Neodiprion lecontei: one gene and its partners. The protein of the gene in region 2 binds, or shares a complex with, the protein of the main gene of each other region. Links are inferred from orthologs where the notes say so. Each region holds a gene or a part of one and is shown on either strand. Other genes may lie near its edges. The genes, in order: MAD2L1-binding protein, mitotic spindle assembly checkpoint protein MAD2A and mitotic spindle assembly checkpoint protein MAD1.

Region 1 (7,326 bases), on a different chromosome or scaffold from region 2:
AGATATTGGCGGTACAGAAAAGCGAATAAATATAAAAGTTCGTGAATTAGTCAGCGAATCGCGTGGCCATGTTTGCGCTGCGATGTACATTCCTACCACGCAGGACAAGATTTTGTGCCGGTGATTGATGACATGCTCTCGTAGGTTCATCATCTGCGGCTCTGAGTTGTAAAAGGAACATCCTTCGAGCACGGTCGGAGAGATTCAAATATGATCCGTGAAGGAGGAGGTAAGAGAAAACGATTACTTCCCCCTTCTTCGCCGAGATAGGGGTCGCACCCTTCAATGGCCATTTGTTTTGATCTACCCAGTGATATTGTTCACCCTGCTCATCCGTTATACCTTTGTCAGCCAGAGGTCCAAGTTTATGACTTCCTGGATAAACTGCTAAGCCTCCATTCTCCGGAGTCGTATCATCCAGGTGTAAAAATACAGCTACCATGGTGTGATTTTTGAAGGGAAAGTAGGGATAGTCTTGATGCATCAGATAAGGTGCTCCATTCTCAGGGGGCTTTATGTGCGCCTTGGTGTGATGCAACAAGACATCTGGAGTACCCAGCACATCTTCCATGGCATCTAGCAACTTTGAATTCATTATCACTCTGGTGAAAACGGAACTGTGCATTTGTAAGTTGTGGATCGCCTTCACCTGTTAGCAAGCCCATTGAAACATAGAATTACTCGATCGTTAAAAGTGGAGCACCGGAGAGATACACGTAGATAATACAAGTGCTCGGAAAATTAAGGCTAAGCAAAAACGTTATGATGTACAAACCGTATAATCAATAAACCCAGCCTCTTGCTTCACCCTATCCCCGCTCCATGCGGATTCCAGTCCCTCCAGATTCTCTCTGGTCTTGCGCTCGAAAAGCTCGTTGTATTCTTGAGAAATCTCTTCCATCTCGGCCTCGCTGAATATTCCACTCAGCTTGATGAATCCATTTTTCTCATAAAACTCCTTGTCCTCAGGCTTCAGATATTTTAAAACACCCATTGCGTAACGAACTGACGACCAGCACAGTTTGCAGCAACAGGATTCGAACTGAGGATTTCTACTAGCTGGGCCGTTACTTTAACGCATATCACCCCACTGCTTCTACCATTGTCAGTCCCTCTCTCTATATTCAATTCCTCGTTTTTCCTTACTTGTTTTTGAAACCGCATTTGCCAATGCCCAGTGATAGTCAAGCTTACATATCAATTTTTTATATAACGCAAGAAACATTTTTCGCACAGTTGTGCAATATTGTTATCTCTCAATTCAGCTGTGCTGCTTACGTAAACAGCCAGTTTGACAAGCAGACATTTGACCGGACGGGAGAGATAGGCCTTGTTGCGTCTCATCGTGATGATTTCTTTGGTTCTTTTCCCTAGTTACGTACTAGCTTTGATGGAAAAAATTATCATTTCTTATAAACGTCGTTTCGCGAATACACAGGAAGCAAAACCGTAAACCTGTCGGTATGTGTAATTTGTAATAGGTTGTAAGCGAGCGGGCCACGCGCAAAGCTTGGTCAATTCAAGTAGATGCCACTTGCCAAACGGCTGATGCAATAACCGAGATGATCCAATAGTCAGTGACCTGAACACCGTAGCGCCAAGTTAAGAGGGTTATCAAGCGAAACAAGCCTATCAGCGGTACGGCCCTTGACCCCTTCAAGACCAAATACATTTTGGTAGATGGTATTGAACGGCACATCTCTGATAGATGCTGCGGACGTCAAGATCGTAAATTATAATTTACTGACGTTGAATGCATGTAATGGAAAATTTCGACACAACGTTTTACGTAACGTACCATCTTGCCTCGTGACAACGAAAATCCTTCAATTTCAAGCAATCTTCCGAACGAAGTTAATAATTGTTCAATCTATACAAAGTAAAAGCTTGATCGATTCACAGAACTGAATGGTTATTCCATTTTGCTCAGTCAGTGTTTACTGTTTTACCTGGGGTCAGGCCGCAAACATGGCTGTTGAATTTCGTGTTTTCGATTGGCTTTTCAAATTCATTTGCAGCAAGACTGGACATATTCAATTGCGTATTTACATAAATGGCTTAATAGATATAAAACATTACACAACTGAGAAAGTGCTCAGCGATTGTCCATAAAAATCGACATCTGATGCTCAAGGTTATAACCATTTCATCAATTATACGAACTAAATAATCAGCTAATCATTTATCAGCCTGGATGATATAATAAACAATAAAGTTTTGCCAGAAGGGTGAACAAAAAACAATGATTGCATCACCGAGAAAACTTGAAGCCTTTGATAATGTCTCTGGACTGATACCATTGGTAAATACTGTCTTGGCCTCCTTCAAATATTTTTTCAGTACTGCGGTGTCCGGCTGTGTTCTGACTAGGTGCCAATTCCGAATACGAAGCATCTCGATCTCGATATACGCTTACTGTATTCTTGCAATTGCAATTCCACATTTCATGACTTTTATGGGACAGCTTTAGGTGTAAACGACTTCCTGCCGTCGCATTAGTTATCGCGTAACGTGGTTTAGGCACAAAGAATTCCGACACCTTGTTGCAATCTCTCTTTTGCAAGAGGAAAAACGTATTCGTGGGCATCAAAGGCAACGCCATAGCTTCTTGAAAATCTACGCTCTCCGTTATGGATCTGGGAAAAATAATAACATGAAAGATAGACCATAAGCAGGTGATAGATAAGAAGGGGGATCGCAGTGTCGTACCTCATGAGGTTCAACAGTGGCTTACGAGGGGAATGCTGCTGCTTGAAATGGCACTGTCCACTGAGTATTTCTGGGGGAAGGCTCACTCGAAGGCAGAATTTTGGAGCAAGTATTGTCGCGCCCATTGATATAAAGATTTCCTTTACCGCTGAACTCTCGCAACATAATTCGGTATTTAAATGTTCCGAAATATTCTCCAGGCAACTCAATGTTGCTCTCGCCGTTGCCAAACTCCTGTCGTTGACTCCTACCGACGAAGCTCCCAGTCGCAGTAAATACTCGTAGCTCACCGGAATCTGTTGCTTTTGATACAACAGATATTTGACCAGCTCCAAAATTAATTTGCAACACGAGTCACTAGTTAAAGGTTCGTCCAGTTTCACACACACTTCTAACTCCTCGATTTTTTTTCGCCCCAGCATTTTCGTCAATTACTTCGACCAGTCGTGTACCTAGGTCGTGTATGGGTTATCTACGGCTTCGTAAATCGTAAATCAGTCCGAAATCAGTCGTCGGTCCAATATGACGCCAATACGTAACAAATCAGTGTTCATCACACAACGCACACATTCGAATAGATGTCTTATACTGATACAACTTTTATTCGCTATGATAATAGCGAGGAATGAAATAATAATATGTATGCACATGGAGAATGCATCGGCGCTGAAAGAGTGCCGCAACGCCCGATAATGTCCCCCAATGAGGGCGAGGGAGAGGAACGTAGTTAGACAATGTGCTCTCTCTTCCTGCAACAGAAGCGTCCCCATCACAGTTGTTCACCCATCGAGAATTGGCTAAGTGCACCGTTCGCACTCACTCGAAATAATCCGAATAATACGTGGAGTTTCTATGGAGTTTCGGAATCGTTTAACCCGTTTTTACTACAAACTTTCGAGAGTTGGTAAACTTACCAATGGTGAATTCCTGCGCGTACGCGCAGTATATTTTCAAAATGCGCGCTACTTTGCCGCATCATGGAGTCGCGCTTGCCAGATACTACCAGAAAGACTCTAGTGATCTCCCTTTCTCGCCAGTTGTATCAGCTCTCTTGCTTCCTCATTCTCGTTTTCTCCTCTCTCTCTCTCCCTCTCTCTCTCTCTCTCTCTCTCTCTCTCTTTCTCTCCTTCCCTCATTCTCTTCAGTCAGATGGCCAGTCAGGTGGCTTCGTTCATTTTGACACCGGTTTTCAACGACTGAAATACAGTTTCCAACGAATGCTCTTGAGGTTTACGGTACATCTACCTAGGATGTATTCCATTGAAGTTATATCTTCCATACCTGCGGTGTTGTCGACCTGTGGTGATGTGTGGGCAAAGTCCAGCGAAATCCAAAGAGGATAGGATTGGCCAAGTCAACGAACCCAAAAATTCAACAGTCGTTAACCGTCATTCGTGATCAACTGTGAACGTGAAAAATCACTCATCGTACATCCTTAGCACCGTTCTGAGACTGGTAATAATTTTTATACTTGACCCTCGGTGTTTCTACCGAATCCACGATAATGCCGTTTTCTTAGAAATATCTTGCTCCAAAATCGCATTTAGGTTCCAACTTAATTTCAACTATATAAAAATTGTCGCTGTACGCGTAGCAACACAATTATGCTTGATTGTTTTTTTTTTTTTTTTTTTTTTACCTGTGACCGTTATGTTGCCGTGCGTGACGCGGCAAGTTGGAAGTATCCGGCGATATCTTAGGTATACCTGCTTGGGTCAGCTAAATATTCACATTTCATACGAACAAACTTATTACCCCTGTCGGGTGTTCTGTTATTTCGCGCTCATTTTGATAATTTGTTTTACAAATTATTTTATACATCATTATAAAAACAACAGTACCCAGAGAATTTCTTCAACCCGCTCTATTGGAATTCGACAAGAAGTATACATAATTCCTTTGATTACCTGAAAGCATTCATTATGTTATAATCGTTGTGCGACATAGTTCATCGTCTTTTTTCTAGGCATATCTAAGGTGAGTATTTCAATCCAAATTCATTATCGCGTGATACGCATTTTTTAAACACGTCTTATTGCTGTTGTATTGCATACTTTATCTACGATCAATTATGATCCTTCAAGTAGCTCCCAGCAGCTTTCACTTACTCCAACTGAAAGTGTAGACTATTCGCAAGAAGAAGAAGTGCGATAGATAAAAGAAAATCAGTTACTCCTCAATATTTGTGGAAAGCGCTATCAGTAATTCTCATTCGCTACAGTGGAAATATAATGTTTTTGTATGCCAGGTTATAGTAGACACAATTTCAGTGACTTTAGCTTGCTTTATATGGTGAATGTCTAGTAAGAGACCCTTCCAAGCCCTATGGCCACCGTCTGGTGCCAACACCTGTGCGATTGTGGGCAAATGTTCAGTGGTAAGAGTTGTGCGTATGTTGATGCATGCATTGACAGCATGCCATATAAGGATCTGTTACAAGGGATATACACGGGATACATCTTATTATTGAAACATCCGCTGAGTTATTTCAGATCTGTACTATTTCTTAAATGTATTGCACTATGTTACATTAGCAGCATAACATTTCTGATACATGCGTTTTGTTTTATCCCAGGTTACGACAATGGGTTACCTAAAGTCTATAGGCACCACATTCATCTATATTGGATTATTTCTGGCGCTCATCACTTTCCTACCTGGCCTACCACCAGATGCACAGTTTGCTGAATACAAGTAGGTACACAATGGAAAATTGAATGAGATGATTATATTGCAGATTGCTAACCACATTCCACCCGGCATCCTTTCTATAGATTTGTCACTGTTTCTTAAATATTGTGAATGTTTGGTGAAGCGGACTCCTTGAAGCTGCTGAAGGTGATTGATTCTTTGCACCAACTCTTATGGGCTAGTACTTACTATTTGTGTCTGGGGTCAGCTTTACCAAAGATTCACAATGCTTCTGCTGTTTTAACCTAATTCACTCTGATACTGGGCAAGGAGACTAATTGTAAGAAATATTATTTTCAGACGCTTGAGATCCATGAATCGTGTTATTCCCTGCAATATAGACAAGCTTGCATATCACTTATGTTTTTATCCTCTTTGCAAAAAACGTAACATAAAATTGTTCTTGAATTTACCCTGTGACGTGGCATTTCTCGCTCTCAACAAAAACAAACTCATCGGAAGAGTGTAGAGGCTGCGAGATGCAGATTTTGCGATTTGCAGTTTGTATTCTCTCATCGGTACATTGCCCCTAGGAGCGGGGGAGTTGTAACGCGGCATGTCTCGCTGTTTGGGTAGCAGTTTGGAACGGTGTTTAGCGGGAGCTCGAGTAGCTCAGTAGTGAGAGCAGTTGCCCAGGAAGCAAAAGGTTTTCTAGTTCCAATTCGTGTCCTTCAAGCCGTGAAATAATATTTCTGGACATACCGAAAAGCTTGTCACATTACACATCCTTTTAAACCTGTGTTCTACATACTCGACAGTTGTTTCTCAAAGTTTCATGGGTTCAAGTACTGATTTCATTACTTCAAATGCAATTATTCATACCGCTTGCGTTGAGAGCCCACATATCAGAGCTTATTCTTTATAAGAGCTTTGAATTCTATGTGCCACATGGTAGAATTTCATGAGATTTTCACTCACAGTATTTCTGAAACGAACAGTTTTTGTGCTTTATGTAATTTTCGTATTAATTGACTGTGCTGAGTTGACTACTTGAAATGCGTTGTGAAGAGAAACATTACTTGACTACAAAAAATTGTACATCCCCAATGAATCAAAAGTAAGACTAAAGTTTATGAGGAATATGCCACTCGGTCTCTGTTACAACTTGTCGTCCCTTTGCAGTATATCGCCACCGCAGCAGTTCCTAACAGATGCCCTGAAATTGAACAACAGACTGGATGATGCCGAAATTCTGTTTGAAGGGAAACTAAAGGGCCCTGAATCTTTTACCTCACGTAACGGGGAATTGTTCACCACCTTGCATGGAGGCGACATTGTTAAGATTATAGGGCATCATATTGTACCTATCGCCAAGTTTGGTAGACCGTGCGGTGAGTCTCTCCCTGAAAAATTTCCGTTCCTTAATTAATTACTTGAAATATTGCTCCAACCTGACCTTAATATTATGCATTATTTTTCCAATCTTAAAATACTTGAAACTTGGAATCAAATTTGGTACCTCTCTGTCTGATAGATGGAGTCTGGATGGAAAAAGAATGTGGTCGACCCTTAGGTTTACAATTTGACAAAAACGGAATATTGTACGTTGCCGATCCTTATAACGGTATCTTTAAGGTAGATGTCATGACAGGAGAGTATGATATGATCGTTGATATTTCAAAGCCGATAGAGGGTAAGTTACCCCTCCTCGCCAATAGCTTGGACATTGCCGCAAATGGAGACATATACTGGACCGACTCGTCCCAAGATTTTATCCTTCAGGACGGTGTTTACACATGTCTGGCAAATCCAGCTGGCAGGTAACAATTTTAATATACACAAGTTTCATCTTGTTGTCAATCGAATTATCGAGCTTTGTCGATTGTACTAAAGCAGAATTAAATACAGAACAACGACGATTATGCCCAGTTATGTTTAAGAACATTGGTTTACCCTGCTTGTAGAATACCAACAGCTGGCGAATAT
Region 2 (6,909 bases):
CCACGGAGCGCTTATCCTGGAAGTCGAGAAATTTTATTAGCGGACTGACAGCTACTGAATATGGGCTTGCGCGAGAAACGAATTGAAATAATTTATTGTAAACATGAACCAGGAACCACGGAGCGCTTATCCTGGAAGTCGAGAAATTTTATTAGCGGACTGACAGCTACTGAATTTGGGCTTGCGCGAAAAACGAATTGAAATAATTTATTGTAAACATGAACGAGGAGCCACGGAGCGCTTATCCTGGAAGCCGAGTTTTACCGCGTAGCGGACCCGAAGCGCGGGATCCGGAAGGTTGAGAACCCGGTACTCCAAATACGTAGCGGACCCGAAGCGCGGGATCCGGGAGGTTGAGAACCCGGTACTCGAAATTTGCGGAGCGCGACTCTCATCCGTCCGCTCTACTGCGCGGTTGTTTCCCGACTGAGGAATTCGGCTAGCTGATTTTGAATTGGTGACGTCACTTTCTGAACATCCGACATCCAAACTATGGTTTCGAACTTTGATACTATGTATGATGATGTATGATGTACGATGTATGATGTATGATGTATGATGTATGATGTATGATGTATGATGATATGATATGATGTATAATGATTTTAGCTTTCACATTTCATACAAGAAATACGCACTTTATCTCTCCTGCCGATTCCAGACTCAAGCGGCCAGGCCCTTCGATCGTCAGCCGTTGACTGAAGATGTATTCTTCAGTGAACGGGTCGGCTAATAACGCTGCCGTTCTGCGACAGTTGGATGATGAAAAATTTCGCTCGTATCTTTCAAATGTGTGTTAAAATACACTCGAAGTGTTAAGAAGCGTCGTTCTTTCTCTCCCTATCACCTTTCTAGGTCTTTAAATCACTACGCAGCGTTAAATACTGTCTCATATACGGAGCATCCATTTCATATCGATCAAAATTAGCGCATCCATGATGTATTACACTTACTCTGAATTTTTTCCCATATGTTCACTTTTTGAAAAACAATTCTGCTTCTCTACCCAACGTAGGTATTTCACTTGCGACTAGCTAATACAGCGTTTCGATTCCATGCCTACGAAAATTCAAGACCGAAAGATCATATGAAAAGTTGTCGGAATAATTATGAATATTAATATTATGGAATACATGGTGGAGCAGGAGGACCAGGAGGACGAAGGTGGTTAGGGATGTTCGGAAATGGTAGCCGGTGGTAGGCGCAGGTAGGTGGTGGTAGGGGTTGGTAGAAGGTGGTCGGGGATAATAGTAGGTGGTCGGTTGTTGCCGGAAGTGGTAAGTGGCGGCAGGGGGTGGTACGAGGTGGACGGAGATGGTAGGAAGTGTTTGGAGGTGGTTGGAAGTGATCGGCGGTTGTCGTGAAAGACGACGAAGACGCGGACGACGCGCCGTGGTGCGGAGGAGGAGGACGGCGTCGAGGTGGACAAGGAGCACGAAGGTGGTCGGAGGTGGGAGAAGGTGGTTGACGGTCATTGGTGGTGCTCGGTGGTTGTATGGTAGTTGTCGGCGGACGCGGTTTCGCGTCTTCTCACGGGGATGATCGAGCCGATCGACATTTTTAAGTCGCAGTCGACAAGTAGTCTTGCGTACTCACTTTGTACCGACTCAATCTCATGCTGCCATACCGACACTACTTCGGCTGTTACGAATGTCGGTGCGAGCCCGTTGGGTAGAGTCGATAGAGCAGAACCCTCCTACGCTCCCAGGCCTACCTGCGCCCATTTGCCCGCCGAAAACTGGTCACCAAATTTTACCCAGGGGTATCCGTCATTACATTCTTCAGTCAACGGATCCGTGGCTTGATCGACATTAATCATGTAGAGAGTCTGCCGTCTTGTACCTTGTACGCTATGGATACCAAAGGTTGGGTGTTGCGATTGGCTGACAGGAACGGTGAGGGGTTCGAAGTTGCCTCATGAGCTACGATTGGTGCATTTGAAAAGCTACCCGTGATTGTTTCTAACCTCATGAAAGTATTGTTTGGTTAATTCGGCTGATGTGTGGAGGCTTGCAGTAGCTAGTTTTATTATTGTCGGCTGCGACGGTGATTGGGCCCGTCTCTCATAATGACAGAAACGCAACAAAAATCGAAATGTATTACTCTAAAGGGTTCCGCGGAGTTAGTCGCTGAATACTTGCGTGAGTATCTGAACTCATCTTTTAACAAAAACTGTCACTTTCCAGCTCTTTGTTTTGGATTTCATTTACTGTTGAACCGTATTATAACGACTCGGAATCGTTGCATTATTACAGATTTCGGGATCAACAGTATACTTTATCAGCGGGGTATATATCCACCGGAAACATTCGAACCGGCGGAACATTTTGGTTTGTCAATCCTTGTCTCTACGGATGAAAAGATAAAATCTTTCTTAAACACTGTCCTCGGTCAAATCGAAGAATGGTTACTACAAAAGAAAGTACAAAAGGTAACGCTTGTCATAACTAATGTAAACACTAAAGAGGTACTTGAGAAATGGGATTTCAAAGTTGATTACGAAGGATCAACTCCAAATGGCACCGCCACCGGCAACAAAAATATAAACCACTCAGAAGTTGGTACAAAGGATACGAAGACCATTCAAAAAGAGATCCGCGAAGTGATACGTCAGATAACAGGAACAGTCAGTTTTTTGCCGCTACTCGATTGTCTCTGCTCCTTTGATATACTGACATACACAGTTCCTGATTGTAATATACCCACCGAATGGGATGAAACCCAGCCAGTATTTATCGCCAACAGCCAGGAAGTGCAACTCAGGACTTTCTCTACATCCATTCATAAGATGCAGACCATAGTTAGCTATAAAAACGATTGATACCAATGATACAGTACGCTTTCGTACACAAGTGCTTATTATTGTAATTTTTATTCTTCATATTCATTCAATTGTAATTATACTCTTTCAATTGCATCATATTTTGTATTAGACTGTAATGGTCTCCTTGATTGATTAAGGACAACAATAATTTTTCAAATAAATGTTTTTATATACTCTCATTTACTTTTCTCTCTCCTCTTTTCATACCTAACCTCACGGAATTCCTGATGTAGTATTTATTTCAAAGAGCTAGAAGACACTGGTTTTGGATGTTCTGAATTTCTACTGATTAGGCACAGATCACAGCATACTGAAGTTGATGTACATTCACGATTTCCTAATCAATTCATTATTTTAAGACTTATTTGTATTTTTGTTTAGCTACTTCGTTGTGTAGATCAGTCTTGCCAATAAGACTCACGGTCGCTACTCTCCTTTTTTTATATCACACTTTTAACGAGATAGTTTTGGCTGCATAATCACTACTCATATTCCTGATATTCATTGTGCGCAGTTTGTGGAAATCACTTGAAATCATTCGTAACCATCTTCGATCCATCGAACAAGGTATAAAGAATTGTTCCAAATGATTCACTCTGACAACAAAGTCGATGATAAATTCGGGAAACATTGAAACATGATCTGAATTAAAAGTTTATGAATTCTGTTAAAGTGTACAGCACCAAAAAATTGAGTAACTCGATATAACTTCATTTCGTATGCGAATTAATACCTACAGTAATCATTAATATAATATAGTTCTTCTGAAATTTTATGAATCTACTATTTCCATTAGTGAGAAATAAATTTGTCACCGAGTAGTAAGTGAGTTTATTTGAGTGTGATTATAACAAAGTAATTATAATGTACCTATTGTAACGTTTTATTATCACTGCATTGTCACAAATTTGGGCAGTAGAACCACCAAAGCTGCGTTCTATAACTTATCACAGATTCGGATAGATTAGCTACAGTCGCCACATCCCTTCACAGAACTGGCAATAGAGTACCGAGTCTGTCGTGCCTAAACTGTAGTGTACGAGTTTGTCATGCACAATGCAAAAATGTCACAAATATTGATATTAAAGAAATTATAAAAAAAATTGTATAAACTAAATTTAAAATCTATCAACTAATTGGTTAGCGTTCTCTGTGTGTAAGTTACGAAATTTTTATACCTTGAAATTTCACCAAATACAAATATTTCTCTAAGGTATGCGAAATTTTCCAATTGCAAATAACTATTTTTCATTGGGAAATTGTGTAATTTTTAATATTGATTGAAATTATCGGAATCATCTAATTTGATTAAAATTCCTTCACGAAGTAATCGATGTTTTGATTTTTATTTCCTACATTGCCCATCCCTACGACAAGTCAGCCAAGCGCTTCGCTATGTAAGTTACTGTTATCGGGTGTTGATCAGTCTGAATTTATACCGAAAATTCAATTCGATCTGACTTCAGAAAAAAGGATTATATCTTGGTTGGGTTATGTTCAACCGTCGGTATCGTAGAGCCCTGCGTTGTTGATTGCTTTGTCGCGTTGACGCTGATTATTGGTAATTTGGTACACACACCCAGCTGTAAAGCTGGATATGTTACACTGTAATTATATTTACAATTAGTTTGGGAAGCAAAGATGATAAAGGTTGATTAGATAAGTGAGCAGGTCTTACCTGATTTTATTAGAACTTAATTATAGTTGTTACACTTGACACAGGAATTAGATATATTATTACAGTAAAGCAATTAGGACTAGAATAAATAATAAATATATTTATATGTATACAACGTATTTGACTAAAGTTTGAACAGTACATCAGCAACGTTTCGTTGTAAGAATTCATTACAGCCTAATTCGATCGCGACGTTACATGTATACATCCACTGTAATAATAACAGTTATACAACAAACAACTGAAAGCGAATGCTGCAAGCGTGAATTTGATTACAGGTATAATTCTTGTATCCTCGGACGGAGGGGATGTGAAATAAAGTACCTCAACGACCAAGAAAAAGAAATGAAGAAAGAATCACGGCAGTCGAATCATTTTTGGAAATAATTCAACCGCTGACGTAACAAATGCGAGCACTCGTATTTACGTCGTATATTAAGGGGCTGCTTCATTAGCTCACTTAGCTCTGATCTGTTATCGTTAAGCAATGTAATAAATAAGTTTATTAATGCGTATAGGTATTACATTGTACCCTATGAAAGCCTGCTGCCGCTCGTCGATTATTATTTGTTATAACAATTATTTAATTCCATAACTACGTAATTATCATATCGTCTTACCGGTTTAGAGATCATCAGGAAACATCAACTTATGCTTTATATTGTTATATAATGTGCTGCAGTACTGTATATTATTATATACCCTACATCGTAAGGATTACAGAATGACAACCTATAAAGTAACTTAATTTTAACGAGAATCAGAATATCGATATCAATATTGGTGCGGCTAGAGACAGCTCTATAATGTTTTATGTGCACATTTTCAAAAATATACTAACTAAAGGCCAAATATTCGCAAGTTAATCGTACACGCGCACAGTTCTGTTTCTCGAGTCTCATTTAAATTCACTATAACTGATTCTCGACAATATTATGCATACTTGTGAACATGTATACAATATTATATTTACGGTAAAGCAGCCTATTTACAGGTGAATTGAACAGGTCGTATCACCTGATTCATGACAATATTTGTTTGTGATTTATTTCAATGACAATTGCGATAGTAATTGTTATTATTACTGGCACGTACACGGTCACTTGTTAAAAAATATTACCGCAGTATTATACCGATGTTGAGAATTTCTTTTTGTTATTGATCGTGTTTTATATTATAGATTTTCAATTAAGACGTAAGGCCTCTCTACGCGAACTTTGTAGGTACCTATATAATTTTTCGATAACCGATTAACCGTTGAAAAATGAAATGCAGCTACTATTCTCTGCTGGATGAAAATCCATACGATTTATATCCAGGTGAAATATACATGTATATATATAATATACAATATATATAATATATGATGTATAGATTGTATAATATACATATACGTGTAGTCTTGTGGACACAGTTAAAGCTGCATAATGAAGTTCGTTTCGTACAAATTATATTACTGATCCAATTAGCCTTGCAGCTACGTAACGAACATATATAATATATATTGTAACAATAAATTTGTCTAATTTCATTATATATATTATATAGGTATAATATTGTTAAATTAGGAATAGCTTTACACTTCGCTTGAAGTTAAGTAATATTTATATTATTTTGTGAAATATTGAACTACGAATTGCTTCCCTATTATATTAAATGTATACTTAACTTTATATATATTATATATATTTATTATACATATATGTGTTTGTATATGGTATCGTATAAATACGTTCCTAGTACAAACATTGAAAAATGAATAACGAGAAACGGTACACAATATTTTACACAGCGCTTTATAACTAGATAGTTATAGATATTTATCTAATGCATCGGTTCAGCAGCTGTAATTCTATTCTACATTTCAGCTGATTCTGGCACCACTTTTGGTGTATTTTATCATTGGTTATGATTTTGCCTAGTTTTACCCAGGGATGTGTCAAATCATCGTAATGACCCTAACATCAAGAAGGTCAATCGGATAGAATTACAGCTCTGTAATAACTCCTTACACATACTGGCATTATATATTTATAAAGTACATAATAGTATACGTGATATTATTAATTATATCATGTTCGTTACGAATCGCGATTAATTTATAAGTATCTGCCTTATAATTATTTACCTACGTTCGATTTTAATATTATCTTAGTACTACTTTTGAATTTTTTAATAAACAACTTATTCTCTTATTGTTATACAATCCCACGATGCTCTTCAATTTTAGGACATAGGTACAGATAATTGCTGTTTCTTGAGAGCCGTGGTTATACAACCGTTGTAGTATAAACGGGTTATTATAGTCCACCATTATAATCAATGCCTGTATTTATTATTTTTATTGTTATTATTATTGTTATTATTATTATACCATAAAATATTTTTACTTTTCGCTGACCGCGTG
Region 3 (8,563 bases), on a different chromosome or scaffold from region 2:
GTCAATTATAGAGATGGAACACGTAGGTCTGCAGGAGTAGTTCGCAATAACACGCCACCTCCAGAAGAAATAGGCATTGAGAATGCAGCAGTGGATGTTGATTTCCCAAAAGTATTTAGTAAGATGCATCAGGAGCAGGCTGTTGAGATTCCATAATTTTTCATCAAAAGTTAGTAATACTTACAAACGCTGTTGGAGCCTAATAATTTGTGAACCAATACAGAAATACAGTTTATAAAAAATGAATATCGAGTGGTCACAATGTATTGCGCAATAAATATAAATGGTCAAGGACATTATGTGACAAGGTATGACATTATATCTACAAATGTGAATGTGATAAGCATAATTTTCATAACAATAGAATAATTAACTTTGTTAAGAACAAACTAGTTGTACCAAATCTATACTAAGCAATTATAGCAATTGAATAGATTGATATACATGTAGAACAATGAGATTTAAGATGCACAACTAATGAATAAAAACTACTTACATTTGCTCAAAGAATCTCACTGTGGAGCTGTGTTTGTACTAGCACCAGCAGTGGTATCCATTACGCTATCATCTGCCTCTTCTGCTTGATCTTCATCATCTTCATCGTCATCTTCTTCCTCAACTTCTATTTCCAGTATACGAATTTTACGGTTGCTCTCACTAAGAATTGCAGCCACTTTCCGGGCTCCACTTACAGCCAAACGACTCGCCGCTATTCCTTGAACAGGTTTTGGCCAAGTTCCACCAGAAAGTTCAACCACTTCACTAATACCCATATTCTCTCTAGTATCAAATGTGAAAACATGGCCAAGAGGCAGCTGCACGAAATACGACGAATGTATGTGATGATCCAGAATGAGCAGACTTAAATAATCTTGCGAATAAAATTGCAAGTCTCCTATCAAACTACTACTGCTAGCAGAGATATCTTTTGTATCGCAACCTGTAAAAAGTTACATAACATGATAGTACAACCATGATTTGAATGTTGTAACGATGATTTAATTTTTATTTGCTTCGTCTACCTTGTCGTCGATCCGCGTCAATGCTTGCACTTTTGACTGTTAAAGAGTTTTCAGTACCCGGATTTTGGACGACCTTAAACATCTGTAAAGTTTTTCCATTCAGGTCTGAGAAAGCAAGCAGTAAATCCTTCTCAGATGTGACAAACTGTGAATGCAACGATGAGTAAGAAATGGTCGACACAGCTGGTAAGCTCACGACTGTAGGAATGAAGAGATTCACTAGCCCCTGGTAAGCCTGACCAAACACGACGCTTATCGCGTCAACCAATTTCGCATTAGATTGTAGCAAGGACAGCGACAGGTCTTGCCTAACCAATAGCGGATGGTTTTGTAAACAGACATTCTCGCTGAGCATAGCAGCCCATTCACTACCATCGGGGGTTAAGCATGTCCGAAGAGGTTCTTTTCGTAAGTACTGACCGAGTTTTTCAAGATTTACACCTTTCCTAGCACCTTCTTTATCTCCAACTTGATCAAACCCACGTAAAAATTCAGCTATAAAAGTCAAGTCCTGTTGACTAACTCTGCTGACTTCAGGTGGCGCCCGTTCGCCAGTCAATTTGAGTATAACAACATATAGCCATCTGAAAAGCACAACAATTCTGTAACAAATAAACGATTCGTAAATTTTTTTCTACCCACCGAAAAAATGCTTTGTAATCACGCATACTATGATCGATGACTTGTTGTATTTCAGATGCTTTGGCAAGAAAAGCTTCCGATGCCCGAAGAGCCTCGTCAATTACACTTTCGGAAGTAAATCCCAGGGCTTCGTATTGTCCACCAAGTTTGGCCATTCCAGTCATTTCAGCCAGCTGGTATGTCAGTGCCATTCCGACGCTGCTAAGATGCTTTAGGACTAATTTCTGCACAAAAAGATTGAGAACTAATTAGAATATCTTTAGTTATTCCCAAGAAGTAAACGAACCTGAATATTACTGTAGCACATTTCAATGCTATGTCCTAATTTCTTCAACCCTTTTTCAGTCAGGTCTCTCAAGAGGAAATTTTCCAAATTCGCAGAGGGAATGCCGATCATAAGAAGGTCCAAAAAATCTGCAGCCACTGCTCCAGGAGGGTTGGCCTCAGCGTAACGAGACAATTTCTCATCCATTTCCAAGAGAATTGTTTCCCATGCTTCGGAAATAGCCATCAGCGTACGATCGAGGTAGTCCATCAGATATTCAATATTAGCTTGAGCTTGCGCTACCTTTTAGAAACAGACGCAACTTTCAGCACTGCCACCTTAATTTTAAGGCTACAAAAAAGTATAGATGAAGTGAAACTCACTTTTAAAAATGCTCCATTACTTTCCAAAAGTGGACAACACAGATGAACAACACTAATGTTTTCCAAGGATCGCAGACTGACCCAAATTGGCCCCCCTGAACCACCGTTGATTTCCTGTACGGAACCTGGCCCTATGCTTAATGTACCACAATTAAACATCCCAAAGACATACATAGCAACAGTGCCTGCTTCAGTTCCAAGCTGTAAAAAATTGAGCACATTGTAAATTACATTGCATTTTATCCTCGACTATTGTCTATTTATGATTCATACGTGTGAATAAATGAGTAATTAAAATGAGACATAACAAAGAGAAATGAATTTGTAAGAAATTTTAATCTTCTATGTATTTTAGCATTCATTTCTTGACACACTTACAAATAACATGTCCAAGGTTTGGGATAAGCTTTCCTTGTGCTCAGGCTCATGCCCAAAACTTCTGTTCAAGCTCGGCAAAGGTGGAAGATATTCTCCAGTTGACGAGGAACAAGTTTTGATTCCAGTTCCGCATTTTTCAGCCTCTTGAATGCCCAATGGTAGCCAGGACAAAGTTGTAACAATTGCCTGTGAACTTTGTTGAGTTTTATGAAGGATATTCTTGTTTTCAACATCAACAAGATGTATGAGATTTGATTCTTTATAAACAACAGCAATGAGCTTTCCGTTTGGTCTCCAAGTCAGATCCTGAACCAAATCTGTTGCTTCAGGCGGGGGTAAAAGCCAGACACGCTGCCACGTGAGCCTATGAAGTGCTATTTCCCCTGAAAAATGCGAATCATCGAAAGTAAGGATAACGATACTCTCTCTCATTTATTGTCGGCGTTTTACCACTTCATAAACAACGCATATCGTACTAACCTCTCATGTTAGCTATAGCCAACAGATCCATTTTTGGTGACCATCGCATCAAAGTCAACTCCACCGACAATTGTCGCTCCTCCAGTTGTCTTATAGCACACGACATATTTTCTTATTTTTAAACGATATATTATACGAGTTCGATTATTATAAGATCCGTCAGTTGGACCGGCCGCTTAGTGCAGTTTTGCAAGCAAACTTGTATGTAGTGTTGCCAAGTGCAGAGTAAACGATCTCGCTATCTCAGAATCAAAACCTCTAGAAATCCCTAGATGTTACAAACGCATAAGGCCCTAGTGAGCTCTATCTCTGTCAGTTCAGCTATGCCGGTCAGGATTACCGTTGGGTTTACCATGGATTTAGCCAATGGCGGCGTTTCGTCGGCATTAATGTAAAGCTGGCAAAACGGCCTGTGCTTCTCGCAGGGCTGCTCGTATACGTGTGAATGTGTGTTTGAATTGTTTGAAAATAACTATAAACATATTTATCCGTATAGGATAGTTGAAACACGTAAGTTACGGTAGCATTTGACGATTTTTCTACGAAGCTACAGAACTGAGTCAGTGTTGATACAGCATCTGAATCGACCCTCAAGAGGTTACCTTTTCGTAAACAACCCCTGAAACTTTTCAGAATTCCAAATCATGGGTGACGACGATCCAACCTGTGTTGTCAAAATGATCAAGGATCTGCGATCAGGTTCTGGAGGCTATCAACGCAATAGCCTAACGTCTTCCGGGTTACGGTTGTCCTCGGCGTCTTACATTCCCTCTTCTTCTATCATCAGTGACATCGATAATGATGATAGCAAACGTACCCCAAAACGACCTAGACTAGATGAAACGAATACCAGTCTTAACAGATCTAGTCTGGATGGCGCACCTGGAAGTCCATGGGAATGGAGAAGGTTGAGGGGAGAGGTAATTGTTGCAAAAAAATGTTACTTGAAAACTAAAGGAATGCGTTAAATATCGATGACTTTTGTCATACGAAGCATTTCCCTTTGCACAAGCTTACCACTCGTATACTTATGTAGGTAATTTCGTTGCGAACAAGACTGTCGCACCAAGAGGCCACAGTGGATCAGCTCCATGGTGTTAGAAGGCAAATGGAACAAGTCTTTGACAAGCAAAAAAAATTGTTTGAAATGCAGGCTGAACAAGATAAACAGTCAATAAAACTGCTAGAAGCTAGATTGGACATGGCTCGGCAAACAACACAAGAAGCTATAGAGGCCCAGACTAATGCTGAAAGAGAGACTGCCCTGGTAATGTGAAAACTTTGAAAATTTTCACGTAACTTCTAATACACTGTTTGTTCGTGGTTTATTTTCTGCAAGAATTTCGAAGAATGGAGAATAAAGAAACAGAAATAATGTTGCAATATATTACATGCTTTTACAATTTTGCTTTACTATGTTTTTGCTTAGGTGAAGATGAAACTAGATCAGAAAACCCTTGCATTGATGAATGACAATGCAAGACTTCAGGATGAAACTAGACAAGCCAACAGCCAGCATCGGCAGCAAATCCCACCAAGTGATTGTAATGAGGATGTAACAGAAATAACACAGAAACTCGAAGCTACTGAGAAGAGAATTCTACAACTAGAAGAGAGCCTCAGAGAGGCCAGAAGTGGCCAGCAGAAGAGTGAATTGCTGGAATTAGAAGTACAAAATTTGAAGATGAAAATTGAAAAGTTAGAATCTGAACGATCGCTATGTGAGGAGGGCAAAGCAATGGCGGCCAGAGCTGCACGTGCTAGTGATCTAGAGCGAGAACTTCATGCTGCCAATAAACAGGTTTCTACTTTGCGAGAATCGGTAAAAGGAAAGTTGCTACTCGAAGAACAAATCTGCAGCATGCAACAAAGGTAAGAAAAAAGTTTTCAAATAGCAATCTTGCCGATAAACTATGACAGGAGTTCATCAATCTAGATTTGTAAATAATGTGAACTTGCCATCAGGGTTCAGCATACAGAGAAGTTGGAGCTGCGAATTGCAAACCTCGAAGCACAGCGGGCGGAGCTACTGTCACAAATTAGGGAGTATGAGTCGATTGGTATTACTGGTGGACCACTAGCGCTAAAAAAAGAATTACAACGTTTGCAACAAACGGAACTGATCTTAACAGCCGAAGAAGGTCAATTAAAGTCAAAGATGGAATCTGCTCAGAGAGAATGTCAAAACCTTAGTAAAAAGTACGAGGAAGCTAAGACGATAGCAAACGATATGACAGGTGTCAGGGAAAAATTGAACAAATTGGTTAGCAGGCTACAAAAGAAAATGATGCTAGTTACCCGAGAACGAGACAGTTACAGACAGCAACTCGACTTGTACGAAAAGGAAATGACCGTTGATGGCCATAGTGTACTTACCGAACGAGTACCAGCTTTGGAACGAGCCATAGACGGATACAGGTAGATATGAAAACATTGTCCTCTCTCTACTTCACGTGTATTGATTTTTTATTTCTTTTTTTCTACACAAGAGAAAATTTCTAATATTATTTACATACCTTAATTGCGAAATACTATTCCACTTTCAGGGAGCTTGTCAGCAAATTAGAGTCAGATTTAGAAGCTGCCGATGATTGTGTGCAGAAGGGTCAGTGCCAAAAGTTACGAGAAGAGATCGAGAGACTCAAGGGTGAGCTAGAACACAGAGCTCTAAAAGGAGATTTCAATTGCAATGCAAGGATCCTTCACTTCAAGATGAATCCAGCCGCTCTAGCAGAGAGACAGGCGGACGAAAAGTACGAAGCTCTTCTACGAGAGGTCGAGGAACTCAGAGCTAGAACGGCCTCTGGCACTTTGAATCTGGGACCCGTAGGATCATCTGTTCAAGCTCAAGGTAAAGAATTCTTTACAAAAAAAGAGTAACAAAAATACATTCACCAATGCCTTGGCTCGAATATATCAATTGTTTGCTCATATCCAAACGGGTAATTCTCAATCGTTGTTACAGAAATTGCCGAGCTCAAGCAGACTCATGAGATCAAGATCACTCGCCTGAAAGAAGCATTCAAGGCGGCTTCGCAGGAGTACCGCCAGGCCTGCTATCAGCTTTTTGGATGGCGAGTCGACAGGACAAAGGAGGGACGGTACAAGCTATCGAGTCAGTACGCAGAGTCGCCGGACGACTTTCTATTCTTCCAAGTTGGCGAGGAAGGCGTTGATCTTTTGGAAACCGATTTTTCCGCAACTCTCGGTAGCCTCATAGAGTGTCACCTACAGAGACAGCACAGTGTCCCGATGTTTATAAATGCCGTTCAAACGGAACTTTTCTCTCAACAGACCGCTGCGACTGTGACAAGCTGAACTTATCCTTACATGAATATTACAATAACTGAAAATAAACCAATTCATTAAGAGCTGTCGATTGTTGCGATTTGAAAATGACGAGTCAACTCTTTAAATATGTAACTCGTACCCAGCTTTAAGCCCTTGTACGTACGACTAAATACTTTAACAAACTTTTAGTATGGTATAAAAGTATCGTGAAAATACATCTGAGATTCCATAATCGATATCTATAATTATGATTGATATTATTACTTTTCATATAAATCATATAATTACTTTTTGTTTAAAGCAAATGGATATTTAATTAGTAAATAATTTAGAGCTGAATTGCCATTCGCTTTTTATTTTTACAAATTTCGACACATTGTTCTGATTTGTGATCCGAATGATAAAGAACATTGTTTGCAGAACGGTTTGTTTTACACAGATTCATATTGCACGATTAACTTGCATTCAAATTAAAATTTTAAATGATTTGAATTAATTAGCTCCGTACAAATTAACAAATCCCAAGTCCAGTTGAGCGTTAAACGAGTCCAAAATTAAACGCACCTCAACAGCCGTGGAAAATAATCTCTGCAGTCACGCGGTATCTCCAATTAACTCCGAACGTGACGGTAAAGTATGGCAAACAACAACTAGGGTTGTATCTATTATATGTTTTACGGTTTCTATTCAGTTTTAACGTTTAATTTCAAAATTCTTGTATAAATCTTCAACTTTTAACCAACCGATTAAATCCCACGAGACGAATTTTTATTTTTTTTTCTATAAATCCCCAATAATATAACAACAGTAAAAACTGACGGAAAATAAAAGCATGAAACTCCGGACCGATAAATTGTTACGAAACATACGTAATTGATGAAAACTCGACTCGTCGCGTCGGAGGGGCAATATCAATCCGAACCCCATAACCGTCACGTAAGGTTCGTCCCATTCGATCCGACGATTAGTATAATACGTGGTAATTATCTCTAGACATAGGTGGAGAGAACCGGCCAAGATCTATGGGCACATAACAGTCTCGTAGTACTTGGGACAGGGTGATAATTTGTGCCGGGCGAAGAAGAAGTAGAGGTTCGTTGAGGAGAAGGAAGGGCGATTACGGAACCCCGGTTATATACACATGCCCATAATGTATATGGTACATAATACGGAGATACATAGCCGGGCACAGAGGTTCGCTCTATCGGTCGGCGGCGGCGAGCAGCACCCCCGCAGGACACGGGGTAAAATAAGGAAAGGCTGGTGCGGCCGCCCTCGGATCCGCTTCATTCGGGAGCTCCGAAGGGCTAAACTCCATTATCGCTAATTATAATCACGTTTAATCGCAAACTCGTCCTCTCTACCCTGCCCGGCGTCGCCCTCCTCTTCCACCCCCCATATTCGACGACCGCTTTCGTACACAGAGACGCAGGACGACGCGACGTGTATGTGCTCACCCCGAGACCTCGTGCCCGGCGTCGCTCAGTCCTGATTATCAATCTGGACTCTCTCGCCCTCCCTTCCTCTCTCGCTTACGCCCCGCTTTTCGCCCCTCGCTGAGCCTACGTCGAGGAGCCACTCGGCGTAGTTATATACTCCAGAGATACTCCAGGTGTCCGGCGCACGTAGAGACAGACGCAAAAGGGCTGCTGGGGCGGTGGAAAAAGGACTCGAAGAAAACGCGTTTATTTCTACCGTCTTCCGAGAGGCCCGCAAAGTACCTCGAGCTTTTGTGCGGTGTACGTATGCATGCGTGTACGTGTTCACGCGTGTTTGTGTGTGTGGCTTATACGTATACCTCTGCCTGTATGACACACACGATTGCCGTTCCACACTGGCGTGTATCGGTGTGCATGGAGAACGGACAATGGTTCGGGGGTTTCTCATACATCGTTTAAACTTATTCCCGTTCAACCCATCGTGCACCTTTCTACCTACAGCCAATTTCATATAATCTTCATACCTTTGCCCCGGCCCCAATTTGAGTCCGAATCAAATCTCCTCGCCCAGGATCGATATTCCGCAAATTATTGACGATCAACTGCAATGCGGTTTATACTTACCTTGACTTCTACACAGCTATATTTACACCAGCTAAACAA

The links.
Region 1: the proteins of mitotic spindle assembly checkpoint protein MAD2A (region 2) and MAD2L1-binding protein are in contact, whole or in part, in a crystal structure (PDB 2QYF), measured with the Homo sapiens proteins. The link is inferred for Neodiprion lecontei from reciprocal best matches to the Homo sapiens genes MAD2L1 and MAD2L1BP. Residues at the interface, in NP_002349.1 of Homo sapiens: Tyr33, Arg45, Thr52, Leu54, Lys122, Asp126, Glu127, Arg129, Ser130, Arg133, Gln134, Thr136, Ala137, Thr138, Thr140, Phe141, Leu142, Leu144, Glu179, Val181, Arg182, Leu183, Arg184, Tyr199, Asp205; in NP_055443.1 of Homo sapiens: Pro61, His79, Tyr82, Gln83, Gln85, Pro88, Leu89, Pro90, Gln93, His96, Ala185, Leu187, Arg188, Phe191, Arg192, Phe195, Asp198, Ala199, Phe200, Ser201, Glu202, Leu203, Gln204, Ala205.
Region 3: the proteins of mitotic spindle assembly checkpoint protein MAD2A (region 2) and mitotic spindle assembly checkpoint protein MAD1 are in contact, whole or in part, in a crystal structure (PDB 1GO4), measured with the Homo sapiens proteins. The link is inferred for Neodiprion lecontei from reciprocal best matches to the Homo sapiens genes MAD2L1 and MAD1L1. Residues at the interface, in NP_002349.1 of Homo sapiens: Tyr38, Leu61, Tyr64, Asn67, Val68, Trp75, Gln82, Lys83, Ser89, Ile91, Glu92, Ser93, Gly94, Arg99, Gln101, Ser150, Phe151, Asp152, Leu153, Leu154, Ile155, Tyr156, Thr157, Asp158, Lys159, Asp160, Leu161, Val163, Lys166, Trp167; in NP_001013858.1 of Homo sapiens: Glu527, Arg528, Ala530, Leu531, Gln532, Gly533, Asp534, Tyr535, Gln537, Ser538, Arg539, Thr540, Lys541, Val542, Leu543, His544, Met545, Ser546, Leu547, Asn548, Pro549, Thr550, Ala553, Arg554, Leu557.

Annotation. Positions count from the first base shown.
Region 1 is NC_060266.1:97,563-104,888, reverse strand, and holds MAD2L1-binding protein, read right to left. Parts: upstream 3,769-7,326; 5' UTR 3,624-3,768; intron 3,459-3,623; 5' UTR 3,132-3,458; coding exon 2,710-3,131; intron 2,637-2,709; coding exon 2,252-2,636; 3' UTR 1,988-2,251; downstream 1-1,987. Other genes in the region: probable alpha-ketoglutarate-dependent hypophosphite dioxygenase, read right to left, coding at 47-649, 776-994; adipocyte plasma membrane-associated protein, read left to right, coding at 5,294-5,403, 6,523-6,731, 6,875-7,160. UniProt on the Homo sapiens protein: May function to silence the spindle checkpoint and allow mitosis to proceed through anaphase by binding MAD2L1 after it has become dissociated from the MAD2L1-CDC20 complex.
Region 2 is NC_060260.1:24,016,517-24,023,425, reverse strand, and holds mitotic spindle assembly checkpoint protein MAD2A, read left to right. Parts: upstream 1-1,881; 5' UTR 1,882-2,068; coding exon 2,069-2,141; intron 2,142-2,255; coding exon 2,256-2,821; 3' UTR 2,822-3,003; downstream 3,004-6,909. UniProt on the Homo sapiens protein: Component of the spindle-assembly checkpoint that prevents the onset of anaphase until all chromosomes are properly aligned at the metaphase plate.
Region 3 is NC_060265.1:6,132,364-6,140,926, forward strand, and holds mitotic spindle assembly checkpoint protein MAD1, read left to right. Parts: upstream 1-3,500; 5' UTR 3,501-3,680; intron 3,681-3,803; 5' UTR 3,804-3,814; coding exon 3,815-4,090; intron 4,091-4,206; coding exon 4,207-4,437; intron 4,438-4,599; coding exon 4,600-5,042; intron 5,043-5,135; coding exon 5,136-5,588; intron 5,589-5,716; coding exon 5,717-6,021; intron 6,022-6,135; coding exon 6,136-6,488; 3' UTR 6,489-6,541; downstream 6,542-8,563. Other genes in the region: uncharacterized protein LOC107218520, read left to right, coding at 1-156; uncharacterized protein LOC124295044, read left to right, coding at 1,193-1,208, 1,302-1,430, 1,720-1,840, 2,010-2,190, 2,343-2,411. UniProt on the Homo sapiens protein: Component of the spindle-assembly checkpoint that prevents the onset of anaphase until all chromosomes are properly aligned at the metaphase plate.